Alligator mississippiensis: one gene and its partner. The protein of the gene in region 1 interacts with the protein of each later gene in a pairwise test. Links are inferred from orthologs where the notes say so. Each region holds a gene or a part of one and is shown in the gene's direction. Other genes may lie near its edges. The genes, in order: MIPOL1 and UTP25.

Region 1 (3,915 bases):
TTGTCAAACCTCTCCAGATGTATTTTGCTGTTACAAAAATGAGAATTTGGTATATCAGAAGCCAAAACCCAATAAAATGTTGTTGTTTAAGGGATAATTCATTGAGCTATGGTTTAGTTCCAATAAATTGTTTTGCTAAACCTTCCATCTTATACTATTTCATCAACAAGTTATGTTGACTGAAGAGATATTTTATGGACAAAAGAAACTGTAGCTTTTAACTGCTTAGAATAAACCTCTGTCAGACCTTTAATTGTAATGAGACAATATGCAAACATGTAGAGAATCATGCAAAAGATGCTAACACAGTGGTAAAGATTGAGATTTAAATTGCACAAAAATATGGAAATTCAAACGTGTTCCTGCTGCAAATGTAACTTGATTCCCTTGTACTTATCAGAAAACAAATAGTAACTTGAACTTATTCATGTTATAAAAGTGGAGTAATGATTGTGGCAGGAATATAGAATAGCTCCTCTAAAATAATAAAATTTGAACGTGCTGACCTTCACATAATTAACATCTCAGCATTAATGTTTTGTTAACATTTGCATTTATTCCCTTGTTTTTGCTCAGGGACAACACTGCTCAATAAATACCCCAGTGGCTTGTTGAAAAAAAAAAGCTACCAGAGCATCTCTTAATTTTGTTCTAGGAATAGAGAGTATGTTCTGTACTGTTCACTTTGATACGGATAACAGACATGGGATCAGGATGGACTCATTGTAGCACTTCATCAGATGAAGGCCCTGTCACGGATCAGATCTTGTATTCCTCAGTGGGTGCCACAACAGCAAAAAGGGCATTTGTGCAGTGAGGCTGCGCCACGTGGACAGAATCATTAAAACATTTAAAATAAAGCAGCAGGCAAAGTGCAGGGAGTTACACGGAGAGACGTCTGTTATTAGAAACACAAACACAGCATCATTAAAGACAAAACTTCAGCAGTGAAACAGACACATCCAAATTATTCCCAGCAAGTGTCAGAGGCCTGGAAGACGATTGATTACACAGCCCTGCAGGGAGTCAATTTACAAACCTTTTCCCACTGGCTACATACCCCGCGAGTCCCCCCGTGCCTCCCCCGCCAAACAGCCTCTGCTGCCACCGGGCACTGTCCCCAAAGCACTGAAAACCAAAGGCATTTTACCCGACCCCTCTCCTCCCCCAGCACCGCATCGCCTACACCTCTGGGACACAAAACCAGCCTCTATAACAGCAGGAAGGATCCGCAAATGGTTTACTTGCTGACCCCCCCGGAGCTGTTCAGTAAACGATCAGTGAATATTTCCCCCTCATTTTCCAGCCCCGGCGCGCGGCAGAGATCCGCGCCTTCCAAGCGCGACGCCGCAGACTTCCTACGATCTCCGCGCCCGTAACCTTCTCACCAAGTGCCTCAAAACACCTCGCAGGCGCTTGGCCCTCCCGCTCCCAGGGAGATGCAAAGCCCGCCAGCTCCAGCTCCAGCTCCTTCCCCGGATCCATCTCCAAGGAGTACCACGGCTCTGCCTCCCGCCCCCGGGCGAGCGACAGACTAGCCCCAACTGCTTCCCGGCTCCCCAGCAGGCGCGACCAGCTGACCGGATTCCTGGCCGGCCGCTGCAGCTCCAGCTCCGCCTCCTCGCTCGGCCTGGGCCCTCCTTTCCTGCTCCTGCTCCTGCTCGTCCTTGCGTGCCCTGGCGGGCTGCGTCGCGCCCTCCTCGGCCTGCCGCTGCCCGAGCCTGCGGGCGCCCAGGGCTGCTTGCACACGCGGAGCAGCGTCTCCCTCGGGGCGCCTGGCACGAGCCGCGGGAGGAGGACGCAGGTAACGGGCTCGCCGGGCAGCTGGCGGGGAGGGGGGCTCGCCCTCTGATGGCACTTGCTCTCAGGAGCTGCAGGAAGGGCTCGCTCACCCGCTGTGCCCATGGGACGGGTGTGGGCACCGGGCAACAGGGAACTTCTGCTCGTGCCCTGCGCTCAGTAAAGGCACCTGTTATACAAGACCACTTTGCAGCTTGCGGTGCCTTGCCTACAAGTTACTCCCACCCACCCCCAGTTAAGAGAATTAAGGCCTGTAAGTACTGATGGTCTCCCTCAGTTTCTTAATACGCATATCAGAAGGAAAGGCTGCAGCTGTGAAGTGCCAGCACAGCAGCTAGAGCAGTGGTTCCCAAACTTTTCCTCAGCATGGCCCCCACTCCCAACCCATGGCCCCCCAGCCCTGCTGCCCCATCTGCTGATGTTGTGACCCCATTTGGGGCTGGAGTCCCCCAGGGTTCAAAATGCACTTTGAGTCTGCAAAAAAAATGGAGCTGCCCATCACAATGCCTTAATAAAATCTGAGACCCCCTCAGGTTATGATTTTCAAATCTTACAGGGGGGCTCTTGTCTCTTATGGGGGGCAGGGGGCTCAGGCCTTCTCCCGGGCTCTCCCATAAGTTAAACCCGGCAGCCCACAGTTTGGGATCCGTTGAGTTAGAGGCTTTGGCTTGTAGCAACCAAATTATTCACTGCTCTGAAGATGCTCAGTCCTAGCCTCCTGTGAAGCACAATGGCAGGGGAGCATAAGGATTCTTGCACTGTCATTAGTTGCCCTGGGAATAGAAGGCTTCCTTCCACAGGGGTCTTTATACAGTGCTCAAGTCACCACACTTGCTATAAAAATCAAGAAAGACATTAAGAAGTAATGGTACTAGGAAAAATATTTTGTATAAGGATAGTAATAGCTGTGGTGTGGAAAAGATTGGTGAGCTGTTTCAGAGGGTAGGAACTGGATTTGTTGAATTACTGTGGACAATGAAAGAAGGCCTTTACCCTATAAACTCATGAGTTGGGAAGGTCAGTAATGAATTCTTTGGAGTAGTGTATTGGTGGTACTCCATGACACAAAGAACAGTTAACCACATAAAAACAGTTTTCTTCATTCTCTTAAAAAGTTCAGATTTTAAAATGGTGTATTGATTCAAGCAGCTAATATTATTATTTGAGTTTCCCAATCTGTGTAATAGGAGAAATGCTTTCTTATCTACTTTCTCACACCCATGTGAATTCATTAGGTAATGTTCCTAAAACAAATTGAAACTCAATCAATCTGCTATGGGCTGAGGTTTTGGGGCAATGTCTTATCAATGTGGGGAAGAGGGGAAAGTAAAAGGGGCATGTATGCTGAGGGTTTCTTTTAGAACCATTGCAATTCCAGAAGACTATTAAAGTGTTTCTACCCTAGTCATCCAGATCTGTACTGACTTTGGGATCTGGGCCTGGGGACATGGGAATTAGTGGAGATAAGGTGCAGCAGAAGCCTGCTGATCCTTATTGTGAAAAATTGTTGCGACCGCTATTTCTCCACACTTTCCAGTATAGAATTAATAGCAGAGGGCTATAGAATGGCCGTAGGTTACAACATCGGTTACTTATAAACTCTACCAAAGTAGTTATTTGTAACTAGTTCATGAATTTTAAGGTAATTAAAACTAAGCCAAAACTGTCAAATGAAAGTTATTTGTTGAGTAATGTAGTCTTGCTTTTACATATTAATTTACAATATTTAATTTATTTACAATTGTCTCCTGGTTGTTAATGCAAATTATCAAGGTCTTGCTGTATAGCAAAGGTGGCATGATTTTAGGCTCAGGGAAGATAATTATCACCTCTGATGCCTGTTACTAGCTGGTACAGGGCCCAGAATTGATCCCAATCTCATATTACGAAGATTTGCATCCTCCCCTGTGGCTGAAGAGAAGCTGTTGCAATGACAGTTGTTAAATAGAAAGCCAAGAGGGAGGGATTCAAATATAATGAGATACATAGGGCATTGATGCATGTGCTCCAGGAGGCATGGGGGTGCTTTAAAAAGCACCCAGAGCATCACCCGTATCAATTTCCCTGTGCTGAAAAATAGCAGTGAGGCTCTTTGAACTAAAGCTTGTTGAATAA
Region 2 (3,915 bases), on another chromosome or scaffold:
AGAGGGGAGGGGGAGCTCCAATTCACCCACCCCACCCTTCAGCACCAGCTGGGGAGCCCCAAGAACAAGCTCCCTTTGCTGCCTTTTGTCCCTCCCATTATGACAACAGTGAGCACTGGCAGAGAGCCATGGCCATTGTTGTGGGAACCTGGCTGCAGGCTCCTAGCCCACAGCTAGATTCCCCTTCCCCTGGAGCCAACAATGAACTTCTCTTTGGTCCTGGGGTAATGGCGGAAAAGGCTCTGAGTTACAGCTGGGAGCTGCACTTCTGTCTGCACTGTGAAACACAAGGTGGCACTGCTCTGCTCTGTCCATAACACTTGCATCCAGCCTCATTCTGATGGCACATCTTCAATCAAGTTAATGATTTTGAAACTTTTTTTTACAAATGGCTCAACTTTATCTAGTGGATTTTACAGACTAGCATTTGAAGCCTTTTTTTTTTTAATGGACTATCCAAAAATTTAGACAGCGGCAGCCCTGATCCCACTACTGCAGAGACACCCAAGCTAGCTCTACATGAACCAGCCAGGATACCCACAACAGTGGCAGCGGCACAGCCCCAGCAGTTCGGAGCATGCCCCAGGCTGGTTTACTGTGTCAGGAAAGGTCATTCCTAGTGTTGCCAGGTGTACGCTAATCATCCTACTTATACCCTAACTCCAACTCTTGTACCATGTATGATTGATAATGATAAAAGCGTTCAAAAGGTACGATCATTTTTGAGGCAGTTAACTGATACAGCATATAGAAAATACAAGTCACTCTCCGGTTTGCCGTCAGCACTTTCTTATGCCGGCTTGCGTCGAAATAAAAGACAAGCTTCAACTTTGGTGACCCAGTTGTCACTCACTCACCGGAGAGTCGGTGAGCAACAGAAAGTCAGTAAGAGACTTATTTGCATGGGCACAGTCGTTTTTCAGCACATATGATAATTTTGGGCTTCCAATAGGATCGTTTTATATTTAAGGCCTGGCACACTGGTGGCTCCGGTCTCAACGTAAGGGGGCCGCCCAGGGTTGGAGTCCCACGCCGACTCCTGGCGGGGCAGCCCGGGGGCTCAGCCCCTCAAGCCCGCCTATTTTGAGCGCTGGCGCAGGCGGCTTGCTGCAGGCTTTCTGCCCGTACTACACCGACGTCCTGCCCGGGAAGAGGCGGTGGCGGGCGGGTCTGTGGCCGCGGGGCCGGCCCTGGAGCCTTGCAGAGACAACGCGGGCTGAGGAAGTAGCCGTGCGCTGCGCCCCTGGCGGCCGCGCGGGGACGGACAAGCTCTCCGGCGCGGAGGGGGGGCGGGGGTGACGGCACAGCAGGGCCGGGCCGACGTCAGTTCTCTCGGAACTCCGTCGCGCATGACGCGAGCGCTCGAGAACCCCGCCCCCCTTCGTTGTCGCGCAGCAGCCGCAAAGTGCCTGGCAGACGCATGTGCCTCCCTTTTCCTGCTGTTGCCAGGCCGGGGCCGGCATGGGGAAGCGGCGGGCGCGCGGCCCGGCGTTAGCCGGCCTCAGCAAACGGCAGAAGAGGCACCTCCGCGACTTCGGGGAGCAGCACCCGGTCCGCGACGCGTGAGTGGGACCCACCCGTGGGTTTAGTGCGTCATCGGCACTAGCAGTGACGTCAGTCTGCAATCCCCCTTCCCCCCCGGGCAGCGGCCGGCGCCCTTCCAGCAGCCTGGTTGGGGCGAGGCGGGCACAGCTCCTCCAGGCCAAGCCGTCCGGCTCCACAGCCATGGACCTACTCGCTACCACTGCCCTGGTGCTGCCGGGTCTTGCTCGCCCTGCCTGGGTCAGGCTCCCAACAGCCGGGGGGTAGACATGAGGTCATGCCCATCAGAGGTCATCTCCCTGTGGTGGGCATGAGGTTATTTCCCTGGAGACTGGTTATGAATACTGGAGCATTCACTGGTAGCAGTTATGTGTGAGAGGGAGACCCAGAAAAATCAGAAAAAAAGGCTGAGAAGCGCTCTAGGAACTTTTCTCTTGAGAAGGAAAACGATTGGGTTTCGAGGGCTGTTGCTACCATCTTTTATGGACAGTGGTAGTGATCAAGTTTCACAACACAAAATTCAAGACGTTTCTAATAATTTCACTTTTCGTTCTTGCGTATCTGACAGTACAGAAGTGCTAAAGCCAACCTCTTCCTTCTCATGAGACAGATGTAGAAATGATATTGGTTGACTGGTTTATAGTAAGATTTGTTGACAGTGGTTTTATGTAGAGTTTAGGTTGTGGGTTGGGGTAGGGATGATCCTGCCTCAGGCAGGGGTTTGGCCTGGTTGACCTCTGGAGGTCCCTCAAAGCCTGACTTTTCTATCATTTTCCTGTGCTGCCATCATATGATGCCTGGTCACCTGAACCAATTGGCCCAAACCTGTCATTCACAGTCACTATTGGGGCCTTCTCTTGAATGGCTCACTTCACCCCTGGCACTCGGCTTCAGCCTCCAAACTTGGTTTTAGCTGCAGGGAGACTGAGGGCCTTCTTGCGTGGTAATTTTGGGTGGCTCCTGGAGCTCATAACCCCTGGATTGTCTGCACATTAACACCTGAAACTTGTTTTAAGCACTCGTTATTATGGCTCAAAGTTATACCACTCTAGGGCAGCAATTCCCAAGCTGTAGTATGCAGACAGCCCTGTTGGTGGTATGTGTTAATGGATTTATCATAATTACTTTATGACAAAAATATGCTGGTGATACTTAAGATTGAACTGAAAAATGTGCTGGTGGTACTTACGGTTGTATCATTTTACGTTAGTGGTGCCCAATCTGTCAGTTTGAGAACCACTGGTGTTATCTCTGATCCATGTTACCCAGCTCCTGTTTCGCTATGGTATAGCCACTCTACCCTCGCCTTCTGGCCTGGATAAAGCCTACTGTCCTCCTACCCTTTCCAGTATCTCAGATCCCTGCTCACTATCCCTACTGCCTCCACCGCTGTGCTCACTTGTGGCTGCCCTTGCTCTGTCTTTCCTAGTAGAGAAGGGTTAACCTGCCTGCCCAACCAGTGCAGCAGCTCAGCTGCAGGGATAGCCTGGCAGGTTAACCCTTCCCTACCTGCTCCCCTGGGACAGACATCTGGGCAGCTACAAGTAGGCAGGGGGAAACTGGGGGCAGGGGGCAAGTCTGTAATGGGAGAGGAGATTCTTTTTTTCTAGTCTTCCAGGCCCCTGCTGGCCTAAACACGTGACGGCTCCAAAATTGAGCTAGCACTAACACCCATCAACATTTCTGCCGCTCACAGTGTAAGGGATAACAAAGTCCTTACATTCTTTTGGATAATATAGATTACTCCCTTTTCCCTAGCACTCATTGAAAACTGAAATTGATTTCTGTTTATTTCTTCAGGGTTTCTGGAAGAGAAGTCACTCAAATTTGTGAACTGGTAACATACTCTAATTGTTTTTCATATTCTCCTTTTGTATTGCTGTTATACAAATTATACAGATGTAATGGAAGCTGTCAGACAGGATGAAGTTATTTTAGCTCTCAGGGTAAATTGCAGATAAAAACCTCGTTCCAGAATTTTTCAGTTGTGTTAAGAGCAGCTAGGGAACATGGAAGAAAATATTTAAAATCAAACAAAAACAAAGTTTGCAGTCCAAGACTTACAGCTGTGTATGAAGTCAAGAGAGCCAGGCAGTGACACTGAATGGAAACTGCCCAAGCTTAGTGTTTAATATCTTGCATTTCATTCAGCAATAATGATGACCAACCCATTAGACTTCTAAACTTGAGTGTTAAAAATAAATGAGTTATACAAACCTCAGGACATTCCTTTCACTTTACCTTGGTGACTGTTGCCCATTATAGAATCACAGAAAATTAGGGTCGGGAGGGACTTCAGAAGGTCATCCCCAACTAGATCATTCCAACTGGGGCTTTATCAAGCTGGGCCTTAAAAAACCCCAAGGATGGAGA

What was found.
Region 2: the proteins of MIPOL1 (region 1) and UTP25 interact in binary tests that used the Homo sapiens proteins (3 or more experiments, as listed by UniProt). The link is inferred for Alligator mississippiensis from reciprocal best matches to the Homo sapiens genes MIPOL1 and UTP25.

The regions. Positions count from the first base shown.
Region 1 is NC_081825.1:258,447,342-258,451,256, forward strand, and holds the start of MIPOL1 (mirror-image polydactyly gene 1 protein), read left to right. Parts: upstream 1-1,714; 5' UTR 1,715-1,804; intron 1,805-3,915.
Region 2 is NC_081824.1:191,864,343-191,868,257, reverse strand, and holds the start of UTP25 (U3 small nucleolar RNA-associated protein 25 homolog), read left to right. Parts: upstream 1-1,342; 5' UTR 1,343-1,461; coding exon 1,462-1,562; intron 1,563-3,342; coding exon 3,343-3,379; intron 3,380-3,915. UniProt on the Homo sapiens protein: Component of the ribosomal small subunit processome for the biogenesis of ribosomes, functions in pre-ribosomal RNA (pre-rRNA) processing. Essential for embryonic development in part through the regulation of p53 pathway.